Linked DNA regions of Saccharomyces cerevisiae S288C. The protein of the gene in region 2 interacts with the protein of the main gene of each other region in a pairwise test. Each region holds a gene or a part of one and is shown on either strand. Other genes may lie near its edges.

Region 1 (7,552 bases), on a different chromosome or scaffold from region 2:
GGAGTAAAATTCACGCCTTTTTTGTCCACTCCTTTTTCCGTAAATATTACATAATTAAATAGTCACAGCTCTTACGCACCTGTTTGGCCGCACATGAGAGTTAAACGCAAACTCCGCCGAGGCGTCGTTTTTCTAGCTGCTGCTTCACGTTTTATGGAGTCATATTCTGGTCTAAAAAAATTATACTAGGCAGGTAATGGATTGTTTTAAGTTTCTTGTTAACTCACATAGGATCTTTTTTGAGTACCTTGTGAAATGGTTAGATTTGATACCTTATTTTTTTCCAACATTACATTATTTTAGTATCGTTCAAGTTCTCCTTTACTTTTAGAGATTACGCCTACATTATGTATGCCGAACTTAGTAGGAACTATTTGTACGCAAAACATGAATTGTTTGTCGTGTCTGCATACATTAGTGTTGACAGTCAGAGAACTTGATTTTAAAAATAAAAGTTTCTTGTTTACAAAAAAGTATGGTCACCCGGTGTCTTTGCTATAATGGGAACAGAAAACCATTTGCAAGACTACTAAAATACGATTTTGTAATTTGACGTTACAAATATAGGGATAGTTGATAAATAGTTACGCGCAGTTAACTTTTCCTCACCAAAGGACAGTTATTTACCTACTGATTGAAAATGTTTTGGCACAGGATACCAGTTTTCAAATTTATTAATTAATTAAGGAGAAGTGAGAAATGATTAGAAAGCAATTAAGCGGTGAAGGTCTGCTTTTTATACTTACAAGAACGTATTATTAGCAGCCAACGCACTACAGTTGTTGACTAAGTTTTGTTTTAATTTGATTCGTAGTTGTTGGTCGAATTTTGTTTTGACTTGTTTTCAGTTTCTTTTTTTTTAATGCCTGACGTTGAAGAGCACGCAGGCCTATGAAAAAAAAAAATTATACGAGTTACTTGGAATTCGCTCCCATTGCACCAATTTCAGGAAGCGATCAAAAAGAAAGCAATGTTATTCAACATAACTTTATTCATACTGTAGTAACAATAACTTCATATCAATTAGGATTCACTGTTCATTGACTTATCACTACAATATGGAGGAAACGTTGCGTAATCGTTGTCGCTATAGATATTGTCCCTCCCTTCCTCTGTGATAGTTCTTCTTTATATAACTTTCACAAAAGCTTCTGCCCTCATAGTTGCCCTCAATAAACGAAAGGCCAGATGCATACAGGTGCAGTAGTACATCCAAAGAAACATAGGGGCAAAAACCGTGTTCTAATATTAGACTGCATATATCCCCTTGTCATTAGCTTAAATCATATAGAGTAATATGTACATACAGGTTATTTTATTTGTAGCTTTCCTCCTCTTTATGGAGCAAAGTAAGCCATACGAACGGTTTACAATAGAGAGCGTCGTTTGCTTACGTGATTGTCATGTGCCTTCGTAGGCAAAGGGGATTGCACACCTTTTTACTAAACAATAGAAAAGTGAGAATTCTCTTATAGGCACTGCTGCTCCTCGTTTCTTTTTACGCGCTGTCGTTCCAGGTCCTTTTTTCGATTAACTACGGTAGTTTCAAAGAGAGTGCCTGAAGATCACTCCATATACAGGCTAGATGAACTGTAAACGAGCTCATCAGCAGCGTCCCTTTCAGTGTCACTACAGCCACAGCAGCTTACCTCCTGTACGATGTGACAGAGCAAAACACAAATGTGTGTCCTTTCTACTCTTATTTTCCAACTCGAATATAAAGACGGTGCCTTTGCCTTATTTCTAAGGCACTGAACAGTTCTAAAAGTAAAGTTTTCCCTAGCCTTAGTACCGTTTCTGTGAAGCAGTTATTGAATAGTTATTGGACATAAAAATCCATATTGAAAAAAAAAAAAACATACTTGAGAAGGCATTAGCTGAATAGTAAAGACTGCTGTAATTCATCTCTCAGTCCTTGCAGTCTGCTTTTTCTGGAATTAATATGTCAATTTCAAAGTACTTCACTCCCGTTGCTGACGGGTCACTCACTTTCAATGGCGCGAACATTCAATTTGGCGCCGATGCTCAAGGCGAGTCAAAAAAGAGTTATGACGCTGAGGACAGCATGCCGAATCCGGCAAATCAACTAAATGACATAACCTTCCAAGCAGAGGCTGGTGAAATGGTTTTGGTTTTGGGTTATCCCACATCCACTCTATTTAAGACTTTGTTTCATGGTAAAACTAGTTTGTCATACTCTCCTCCAGGCTCGATTAAATTTAAAAATAATGAGTTTAAGAGCTTTTCCGAAAAATGTCCCCACCAAATCATTTACAATAATGAACAAGATGTGCATTTCCCATTTCTAACGGTAGAACAAACAATTGATTTTGCCTTGAGTTGTAAGTTCGATATTCCAAAAGGTGAGCGCGATCAAATAAGAAATGAACTTCTAAGAGAATTCGGCCTGTCTCATGTATTGAAAACTATTGTAGGAAATGATTTTTTCCGTGGTGTTTCTGGTGGTGAGCGTAAACGTATTTCTATTATTGAAACGTTTATTGCTAATGGTTCCGTTTATCTATGGGATAATTCTACTAAAGGTTTAGATTCCGCCACAGCTCTCGATTTTTTGGAAATTCTTAGAAAAATGGCAAAAGCTACTCGTTCTGTAAACTTAGTCAGAATTTCCCAGGCAAGTGATAAAATTGTTGATAAGTTTGACAAGATTCTTATGCTATCCGATTCCTACCAGCTTTTCTATGGTACGGTCGATGAGTGTTTGACTTATTTTCGTGACACTTTAGGTATTGAGAAAGATCCTAACGATTGTATTATTGAATATCTGACCTCTATCTTAAATTTTCAGTTCAAAAATAAAAATTTGGGGAATTTATCAAATTCATCATCTGCTAGCGTTCTCAAAACCGCAACAGGGGAAGTCACTAAGTATACTTATAATTCTGATTTCGATTTATATGATCAATGGAAACATTCTTCGTACTATAGAAATATAAAGCAGCAAATCCAGGGGTCTTCAATTGATGACTCCATTAAGGAAGTGGATCCCTCTGATGTCTCACCTATTTTTAATATTCCGTTGAAGAAACAATTATTATTTTGCACAAAAAGAGCTTTTCAACGAAGTTTGGGTGATAAAGCTTATATGACGGCACAATTTATTTCTGTCGTTATTCAATCTTTGGTCATTGGTTCACTGTTTTACGAAATTCCGTTGACTACCATTGGTTCATACTCAAGAGGTTCTTTAACCTTTTTCTCCATTCTTTTCTTCACTTTTCTTTCTCTTGCAGATATGCCTATTGCCTTCCAAAGACAACCCGTCGTTAAAAAGCAATCCCAACTTCACTTCTATACTAACTGGGTTGAAACCCTTTCAACAACAGTGTTCGACTACTGCTTTAAACTTTGTTTGGTAATTGTATTCAGTATCATCCTATACTTCCTTGCTCACCTGCAATACAAGGCTGCAAGATTTTTCATTTTCCTCCTGTTCCTTTCCTTTTACAATTTCTGTATGGTGTCCTTATTCGCTTTGACGACACTAGTTGCTCCAACCATTTCAGTTGCAAATTTATTTGCAGGTATTCTGCTACTAGCTATAGCAATGTATGCTTCTTACGTCATCTACCTGAAAAATATGCATCCTTGGTTTGTATGGATTGCTTATCTAAATCCTGCAATGTACGCTATGGAGGCAATACTGTCTAATGAGCTTTACAATTTGAAGCTGGATTGTAGTGAGACAATTGTTCCAAGAGGTCCTACTTACAACGATGTTCCATTTTCCCATAAGGCCTGTGCTTGGCAAGGTGCTACTCTGGGTAATGATTACGTTAGAGGCCGTGATTACTTGAAGCAAGGTTTATCCTACACGTATCATCATGTGTGGAGAAACTTTGGTATTATCATTGGTTTCCTAGTATTCTTTATTGCCTGTACTCTGTTTGCATCTCAATATATTAAGCCTTATTTCAATAAGGATGAAATAGAGCGCAACAATAGTCGTTTGACAAGATGGCTACCATTTTTGAATAAAAAGAGAGGTACCAGGTCCTCTGCAAGAAATGACAGTAAGTATGTTGGTATCCCAAAGTCGCACTCCGTTTCGTCTTCCTCGTCTAGCCTGTCGGCTGTTCCATATCAGATATCACCCTCAAATAAGGAAATGGCTCTAAACGATTATAACGAGCAACCTATCACGGAAACAGTAGAGACTCAAAAGCATATCATCTCTTGGAAAAATATCAACTACACAGTTGGTACAAAGAAACTGATTAATAATGCATCCGGTTTCATCAGTTCTGGTTTGACCGCCTTAATGGGTGAGTCCGGTGCAGGTAAAACTACTTTGCTGAATGTCTTATCACAAAGAGTTGAGACAGGTGTTGTTAGCGGCGAAATTTTGATCGATGGCCACCCATTGACAGATGAGGACGCGTTTAAGAGAAGTATTGGTTTTGTTCAACAACAGGATTTGCATCTAGATTTGCTGTCTGTGAAAGAATCTCTGGAAATATCATGTCTTTTGAGAGGTGATGGTGACAGGGCATACTTAGACACTGTTTCAAATTTACTGAAATTGCCATCTGACATTTTAGTCGCTGATTTAAACCCGACTCAAAGGAAGCTTTTATCTATCGGTGTTGAACTTGTTACTAAGCCTTCACTTTTATTATTCCTAGACGAACCAACCTCTGGGCTGGACGCTGAGGCTGCACTAACAATCGTCAAATTTTTAAAACAACTTTCTTTACAGGGTCAGGCTATTTTTTGTACCATTCATCAGCCTAGTAAAAGTGTCATCAGCCATTTTGACAATATTTTCTTATTGAAAAGGGGTGGTGAATGTGTCTTCTTTGGACCAATGGACGATGCCTGCGGCTATTTCATGTCTCATGACAACACGCTCGTTTACGATAAAGAACATGATAACCCTGCAGATTTCGTCATTGATGCAGTAGGTAACAGTAACTCCTCGGCAGGGAAAGATACAGCGGAGGAAGCTCTTACTTTGAACAAAGAAGCCATAGATTGGAGTGCATTATGGGAATCTTCTGTAGAAAAGAAACTAGTTAAAAAAGAAACAGCTAGGTTAGAAGATGATGCTCGTGCGTCTGGTGTTGATTACACAACCTCATTGTGGAAGCAGCCTTCCTACTTACAGCAATTAGCTCTTATTACAAGAAGACAATATATTTGTACGAAAAGAGACATGACTTATGTCATGGCCAAGTACTGTTTGAATGGTGGCGCTGGTTTGTTTATCGGTTTCTCATTTTGGCACATTAAGCATAATATTATCGGTTTGCAGGATAGTATCTTCTTCTGTTTCATGGCTCTTTGTGTTTCATCTCCATTGATCAATCAAATTCAGGACAAAGCCTTGAAAACAAAGGAAGTTTATGTTGCTAGGGAGGCGAGATCTAACACTTATCACTGGACTGTTCTTCTTTTGTCACAGTCAATTATTGAACTACCACTGGCACTTACAAGTTCCACACTATTTTTCGTCTGTGCCTTTTTCTCTTGTGGATTTAACAACGCTGGCTGGAGTGCCGGTGTTTTCTTTTTAAACTATATGCTTTTCGCTGCTTATTACTCGACTCTTGGTTTATGGCTGATCTATACTGCTCCTAATCTACAAACTGCTGCTGTTTTTGTTGCGTTTATTTACAGTTTTACAGCATCATTCTGTGGTGTTATGCAACCATACTCTTTGTTTCCAACTTTTTGGAAATTCATGTACAGGGTTTCGCCATACACATATTTTGTGGAAACTTTTGTTAGTATTCTATTGCATAACTGGGAAATCAAGTGTGACATGTCGGAGATGGTTCCTGGTCAACCTCTGACGGGGCAATCTTGTGGCCAATTTATGGAAGCTTTCATAGAAGAATACGGTGGCTATCTACATAATAAGAACACTTTCACAGTCTGCGCTTATTGTACGTACACTGTTGGCGATGACTTCCTGAAAAATGAGAATATGAGTTACGACCACGTTTGGAGGAACTTTGGTATTGAATGGGCTTTTGTTGGTTTCAATTTCTTTGCGATGTTTGCTGGTTACTACTTAACTTACGTGGCAAGAATATGGCCAAAGGTCTTTAAAATTATCACCAAAGTAATTCCACACAGAGGGAAGAAGCCTGTACAGAACTAATACCATTTTTAAATATATTTCTACTTTCTACTTAATAGCAATTTTAATTAATCTAATTATTTACAAGTCACCAATGACTGACTAAACAATTGAAAGAGTCCTTTGTACAACAAAAAAAAAGATACTTGTCGCTGACGCTCAAAAAATATTTATATAGCAAAAGTGCACGACAAAAAATGCTTCCAATCGGATTTGAACCGATGATCTCCACATTACTAGTGTGGCGCCTTACCAACTTGGCCATAGAAGCAGTAAACCGTTATTTTGTTGTTTCTCAGAGTGGTACACGTCAGTATGACAATACATCATCCTAAAACGTTCATATGAAACAACCTTATAACAAAACGAACAGAATGAGCAACATGACATATAACTTCGCCTCCCTTAGCTTAACCACCCAAACGTATAGACGCCTGAGCAATTAATTTAGATCCGAGGTTCGGCGCTTCCACCAATTAATATGATCCATATTTTATATAATATATAGGATAAGTAACATCCCATGAAAAGCTGATAATCCGTTCTGACAACTGGTTACTTCCATTGACTGTTTATATTGGGATTTTCAAGACACCCCGGTATTACTCGTACCCGTAAAACAACATACACTTCGTCATGACTGAGAAGAATATAGGAGTAAAAAGAATACCTGAACTAACAGATATAATCAGCATCATGTTTTTTAAGCGAGAATACAGAAATATTCAAATTAAGATAGGCAACAAGGATTAGTTTAAATCTGAAAATCTTTTAAGATTAGGTACCTAATTTAGCTATATTGCTTTATGATTAGTTATAACGTCATTGGAGGAACAAACTATTGGAATAAGAATCGACTATAATCTACCGGCGAGTATTCATAAGCTATTATATTGTGGTAGACGGAGTAGAAAGATAAAAAAGGATTGAAAACAGTCATCTGATTTAATGGAAGCTGAAATGCAAGATTTAATAATGTAATAGGATAATGAATGACAACATAAAAAATAGAAGAAATAATAATAGTAACATTATGTGGAAATATGGGTTTCCTTGGCAGGTTCCTATATCCTTGAGAAAGAGCTTCTAATATATTTTGTATATTTAGTATTATAACTAAGCTGTTAGAAAATAAAATACCGCTAAATCAATTGAGGCGGTATTAAATACCTGTACATTTGAATATTTGGAATGAGAAAGAAATATAGTTACATAATGTACAAAAAAGAAGCAAGAAAGGAATATATATATATATATATATATATATATATATGTATATTGTTATTTAGAATATCTCTCTCTCTTCGAGAATCTCTATATCCTCGAAAAGAACTTTTAGCATATTCACGATAGGTCGTATTATCAATTAAATCAATTACGAAGTTCGGAAGTTATTGCCTACATAATATGATGTCCTGTTCATAAAAATAGAGCCCTAAGAAGTGT
Region 2 (6,711 bases):
CTTCTGACAAATTAGTGTACTCCGGTGTCTTCACTCCACCTACTGCTTGTTCTTACGGTGCTGGTTTGCCTGTTGCTATCGTTGATGACCAAGACGAAGTTAAATGGTTCTTCGATGCTTCTAAGCCAACTTTAATCTCTTCTGACTCGATTATCAGAAAGGAATACAGTAACTTCACTACTCCTTATGGTCTATTAGAAAACGGTGTTCCAATTGTTCCAATTGTCTATGACGGTGGTTACTCTTCCAGTTTGATTGACTCCTTGAGTTCTGCCGTTCAAGGTTTGGTTGTTGTTTCTTCTGGTTCTACCAACTCAACCTCATCTACTATTGAAAGCACTGAAATCCCAGTCGTATATGCTCAAGCTAACACTCCATTAAACTTTATTGACAACAAAGATGTTCCAAAGAACGCTGTGGGTGCTGGTTACCTATCCCCAATTAAGGCCCAAATCTTGTTGTCCATTGCTGCCGTTAATGGTGTCACCTCCAAGTCCGCTCTGGAAAGCATTTTCCCATGAACTGATAGATATTAAATCTAGCGAAGCATAGAGATTCTTTTTTTACCAGTCATCATAACCATTATTTTACAAAATTTCCACGCAACAGCTTTTATTTTCGTTCGTAATAGGAACCATACTTCCCATTAAAGCAGTATGATTGTTTTATACACCTTTTTATTGTTATTTAAGACATACCCCAAATAATTAATTAATTAATTGATGAAAGAATCATATAAATTCTTGGCCATACATATTTTTTTATTATCTTTTGCTACATTGACCATAGGTGAATATCTTCCCGGGGTGACACTCCACTGAAGTGGGAAAAAAAGAAAAGTTTTAAAACATTGCTCACCTTAAGTCTCGAAGGTCTAGCATTCACTACCTGTAAGTGTCAAGACCCCACATGTATACATGGATACAATAAAGAAACAATGTCCGTATAATTTGTATACATTTTACTACAGATAAGGGATCTCACCCCCTTCTTTTGTGTCTAAGTGAAATCTTCTGATATATTTAGTGTTTTATAGCGTCCATGTTTTAAACTAGAACGGCAAAATAGTAGTTGTTGTAAACGCTTATTTTCGAGACATCAGGTAAAAAGGATAGTTAAATCTTACAATCAATGCATGTAGTGAGTGGCGTTTATCAATAGTTTTTAACAATTCCCATTTTGAAAGAAGCCCACAACAACCCTAGTAGTTCGTTAATATACGTTATGATGGTCAAGTGTCACAGTACGGAAAGCTTGCAAACAGCTCTTACATAGAGGAGTTGCTTCAAAATAAACGTCCTCTGGTGTCAAGTGTCTCATACAGCGACCACATGCGAAAGAAACTACTACAGATAAGCAAATACACAAATTATAATCGTGGATTCATCATCAGAATACGCCTGGCCCTGTAATCCTTTGGCTCACCAACATTCGATGGACACCTTTATATCTTCTAATAACAGTGAATAATAGACACAATACGAAGAAAAACCCAGCGGTAACCATGTAAACGGTACCACTTACGCCATAAGCTAAATAGATCAGAATGGTAGAGACTTTGACAAATAGCTCGAAAGCTTTAGCGAACATTAGTCTTATCCAATTTAAGTTGGGTTCATTGCCATCTCTACTTTTCATAATATGTTTTATCACAGGTGAAGAGTAAAATACAATGATGTTATGAAACTTTCCAAGCAACCCTAATTTACCAGTATCCTTATATGCTATTAATGTCGTGCCACCAGAACCAAATATCTTGGCAAATTTCCAGTATCCCACGATTTCGATTATAAAATCATTCTCTGAAAAGGTCATTGAATTGAACCCGCTCCTTAATATGTTGTATACGGAAAATGGGAATAAAATTAGCCCAATAAAGTAATCTAAAATGAATAAATTTCTAAGAAAAGTTCTGAGAGGGCTCTGCTGCCTTGCTGTGAATGGGGAATCGGCCGTATTGGCGTTGGTGGCTCTTATAGTGTCTGCATTGATTCCTCCATTTCCGTTTGTGGTTGCATCCATATTAGCTGCTCTATTTATATTTGAAGTAGAACTCATATTCCTCCTAAGGGAGTTAAATATTCCATCGATTGCTTGCTGTACATCCTGCTGTAGTTCTTGCTGAGATTGCTCGGTTACAGGTGAAGGCTCTCTACTATGCCTCGTTTCCGATTCTTCTAGAAATCGCTGAAACAGATAATCATCATTATCGTCTCTTTCTGTCCAATTACTGCGGCGATGATTTTGAGGCCTCGCCATTTTTTCTCACTAAATGCTTGTGAGGATGTATGCGTTTGATTCGGTGTCTCTTTAATCATATTCCCGAATCGACCCTATTTGAAGGTAGAGGGAGTTGTTTCCTCTCACTATTGTTATAAAAGATCATCAATGACGGAAACTAATATGCAATGAAAAAATGAGAAGTTTACATGAATATGAAGATTAACTGCACAGCAATGTTGTTGACCCTTGGTATTCGCACACACTAAGCCAACATAGGTTCGTTCAATTTTTAAAAAGAAGATGGTCCGGCCTCAGAATGTTCACTGGTTTATCGCTACAATTGTATTTTTCATCGGATTTGTACACGCTAATACAGAATCAATCTTATATAAGGTTCCTCACAACTTTCCCCTCAAAAAACCAAGAGACAGCTCTACTTATGCAAGAGATGTAAACTTGATATCTTCCATATCACTATCGGGAGAAGCAATGAGTCAGATCACTATCGAGGCCAATACCACTGACTTGGAGTTGCATAATACTACGTATATTGAACTGGCGGACTTACAGCGAGACGAAACATATCAGATTAAAGTGTGTTGGTCAGCAATACATCCAATTTCCATTAATAATCTCCAAACTATCACAATACCACGTTTCACTGAATTTCAGGGAACTAAGTCAGACTACGCGAGAATACTAGTGACTTTCCAGGTCTTGTCTGACTCGTATCCTAGTGAGCATGCCATGGTTCCAATACAAGTCTCATTAATCACCACTCGGCTAGGTATCCCCGTGGATATTTACCCAACATTAATCGTTATGGTGCTATTAGTAGCAGGGCTTGTTGTTACCCGGGCACCACACGTATTGAACGATCTTTTGCTGAAATTTTAGTATGGAAGCCTGAGCCCCCTTTGGCTGGATAGCTTGGCCTCATCACAACTAGAACGTAAAAAAGTCCATTAACCATCAAATGCTTCTCATTAAAGTGGGTATTTTTATCGAAAGAAAGGGACCTGAATATCTAACTCGCCGCTATGTCGAATGAAAACTTATCTCCCAATAGTAGTAACCCAGATTTAACTAAACTGAATAACGGCGAAAGCGGAACTATTGATACCAGCAAATTCTCGCCCAACGAAATGAAGCTATACAAAATGTACGGAAAGCTGCCATCAAAGAAAGATATTTTTAAGCATACCATGCAGAAAAGAAAATATTTCGACAGTGGTGATTACGCTTTGCAGAAAGCTGGCATTCAAAACAATGATCCAATAAACTATGGAAAGAATAACCTGCCATTAACAAATCCCAGCAAACTACGAGAAGATATAATAAAAAGAAGGATAAGCACTTGTCCGTCAACTGCCTCAACCGCTGGTGTAGTAGATAATGCGACGTTGATACAAAAGGAGGGAAGTATATCGAGTGGACCACCATCGTCTAATAACGGTACTATTGGAGGTGGTAGTACAAGTTCAACGCCAGTGGGGAACCACAGCTCTTCGTCGTCCAGTTTGTATACTGAATCACCCATTAGATAAATAGACAACCTGTACTTTTTTATATTTTTTTAGGGAAAGAGAAGGGTCTCTTATATTTAACGCTTATTATGTGATTTCTCGAAATGTCAAGTGTTACAGCCATATGGCTGACTGTGTTTACGTTAATTAGTTATATATAAACGATAAGCCATTCTGATGTTATCTTCTTGTACTTCTAATTAATAATATTTACTCGTCAGAATTTCGACTTTAATGAGAATATAGATATCTTCCTAGTTTTCCAAACATTAGAGAACCAAGGAAATAAAAATCCATGAAATATAAAAATTGGGAACCGTCGATAATATCTTTGTAGCAAGAGATACAACAACCCACCCCAATGCAGATGCAGCTCATTAACATGGATATTGAGCCGTCAAAAAACAACCACAGTATAATATTCAGAAGCCCCCATGCCCCTGCCGCCTGCAAAGAGGAGTTCCACTGTATTTTCCTGATCCCAAATGTGACTCCCAACATGGCATTGATACTTCTAATAACAGAGGTCAAACTGTCATGGTGGACAGAGCTCTTAACAACCTCTGTTTGAAAAATATTATCCAGAATTGGTACAACAGAACCAAATAACAGTCCTTCAACACCGTAGCCTAACCAGTTTGGCAGAACCCCATTGGATAGCCAGTTACAAAGTTTGACACCCAGTAGAAGGGGTCTCGATGCAAAATCTGGATGTAAGAGATGATTATCGTGCAAGTTTCTGGACAGTTCATGATATGCGAAACCGCTCAATGACAAAATTAATACAGCTTGCAGGTAATGAAGAATATTTTGACGAGTTTGTCTGGTTCTTGACGGAAAGTTTTCGTGAATGGATGATGCTGATAAAATCCTTTCCAAATTATTAGAAGATACTGTGTTCCTTGGCAGCGAGCCGCCAACCTTATGGGCCAAGTAAAAAGTCGAATCAATAGTTTGATCTCTACTATATTTGGTAGAATCTATAGAGACAGAGCGTTTCAATTCTTCGTAAATTTCGTTATCTTCCGATCTCACGACGTCATCATCATATAATGAATAAAGCTGCGGTTTAGTCAGAGAGCAGATTGATTCGGTGCTCTTCTTTGGATCCGGTTCTCCTCTATTGGCCATTCTGTATGCTGTTTTCTTTGAGAAATACTTTGTCGTTTATCTTCGTCCTTGTCTTCTTTTTGGTCCTTTGTGTTTGAGTGCTTTCCAAACTTTTTCTTTACCTTTTGCACGCCAACTACTATGCCCTTTATTGCAAATAAAATAGGTACTACAATAAGCCCTATCATCAATGTTGAGCTGTCAACTAGAAGTTTAAGGAAAAGAACATCTCGAAGTTTAGTAATTTCCTTGCTTTCATATTTTAAATGTCTAGCTAATTTCGTATCTACCCTTTATCTCATGCCGATAAAAAGAAAAGTTCCCCCCTCGTGGCCAGCGACGTTCGTATATACATAAAACTGCCTCACCCTCCTTTCGGTGGCAAAAGCATGTTCTACAAATGAGTATAAAGATGTAATAAGAGCTTGTACAAGCAAGGACTCGAGCTAGGGCGGAAGTGTGACAACAGTGAGCTATAGGCACATTGTAGTGTACATCTACTGCAAGAGCTTGCATTAATTTTGATATAAAAAAAAGGACCATCAACTAATTTTTGCTATATTTAAGAATGTCGGCGGCTATCGAAAAAGAAACCGGAATGTTGGATGTAGGAAAGCACTGTGCATATTGTAGACAACTAGACTTCCTACCTTTCCATTGTTCGTTTTGCAATGAAGATTTCTGCTCGAACCATAGACTTAAGGAAGATCACCACTGTAGGTGGTTGCTAGAGCATGAAGAAGTTCATAAAACTGAAAAAAGTCCTAGCAAAAGCCGGGATGGCTCAAGTTCTAACGATGAAGCATATTTCAAGAGTCTGTTACCTGAGAGGGCCAGTGTTAGAATCCAGAGAGTAAGTGAAACAAGAGAGCCTTTGAGAGGTTCTAACACTGCCAAAGTGAGCTCTACTTTGAACTCAAAGACATTAGACAAAATATTTAAGTTCTTCCAAAGGAATGAGAAAAGAAAGAGCAATAACAAATCAAAAAAGAATTTCGGTTCCTCGTCGAATAAGATAATTCAATTGGCTAATCTCAAGAAAATTGCTAAAGGTGACCCCAAGATTCCTATGCAAAATAGGATTTACATTTGGTGTTACTTGGTGGATGGTGATGAGACGGATATAGCCAAGGAGGATACAAGAATGCCATTATACATTAACAAAATGTGGCCTGTGGGTAGGGCCATGGACTATTTGTCTATCCAGCTAAACGTGAAATCTAGCACACTAACTAATTCAAGTTCTAATGACAAATTTCAACTATGCAAATTGAAAGAGGGTAAACAAGTTTCATTTTATAATATTGGCGCTTCCTTAAGAGTCACTAATGAGATCAAAGATCTTGATACTCTGTATTTAGTACACAATAACGCCGACGAAAAATCTAATTAAGAAGGACACTATAAATAACAAACAATCGCGCGGAACGTCAAGCGTATATACTATATAAAAAGAAAACAAAAAAAATCAATAACCCATTAAAGATACATAATCAATAAAAAACGATATTAAAAAGCACGTAAAGTACTTAATATTTTTTTAATAATAGACATTTTCGCCCTTACTTTTTAAATAAAAAACATAAAAAAATATCAAATGTACATCAAAATCATAATACTAGAACAAAATGTGAAGATCACTGGACGGTGGTGGGAATGATTACAAAAAACCTCCTCCGTTTTCTATTCTAACAGCATCCTAGCTTACTGAAAAAACCTTTCGATGATTTGTTACTATTTCTATCTTGCGCTGCGTTTTTAGCGTTTTGTTCGTCGTTCGCCGTTGGTTGCGCATTATATGGATACTTGTTAGTTTGACCATTGGCACCTGTATTGGCAAACTGTTTGGATT

Evidence for each region. The genes of interacting proteins can lie anywhere in the genome.
Region 1: the proteins of NSG2 (region 2) and AUS1 interact in a protein complementation assay, tested with the Saccharomyces cerevisiae proteins (one study listed by BioGRID).

What each region holds. Positions count from the first base shown.
Region 1 is NC_001147.6:347,737-355,288, forward strand, and holds AUS1 (ATP-binding cassette sterol transporter AUS1), read left to right. Parts: upstream 1-1,942; coding exon 1,943-6,127; downstream 6,128-7,552. UniProt on the Saccharomyces cerevisiae protein: Transporter involved in the uptake of sterol.
Region 2 is NC_001146.8:337,089-343,799, forward strand, and holds NSG2 (Nsg2p), read right to left. Parts: upstream 4,881-6,711; coding exon 3,981-4,880; downstream 1-3,980. Other genes in the region: YGP1 (Ygp1p), read left to right, coding at 1-521; ASI2 (Asi2p), read right to left, coding at 1,390-2,259; PGA1 (Pga1p), read left to right, coding at 2,524-3,120; IGO1 (phosphatase regulator), read left to right, coding at 3,264-3,770; YNL155C-A (uncharacterized protein), read right to left, coding at 4,823-5,047; CUZ1 (Cuz1p), read left to right, coding at 5,428-6,252; serine/threonine protein kinase YCK2, read right to left, coding at 6,548-6,711. UniProt on the Saccharomyces cerevisiae protein: Stabilizes the HMG-CoA reductase HMG2 by preventing its HRD1-dependent degradation. Binds directly to the sterol-sensing domain (SSD)-containing transmembrane region of HMG2, promoting its folding to protect it from degradation.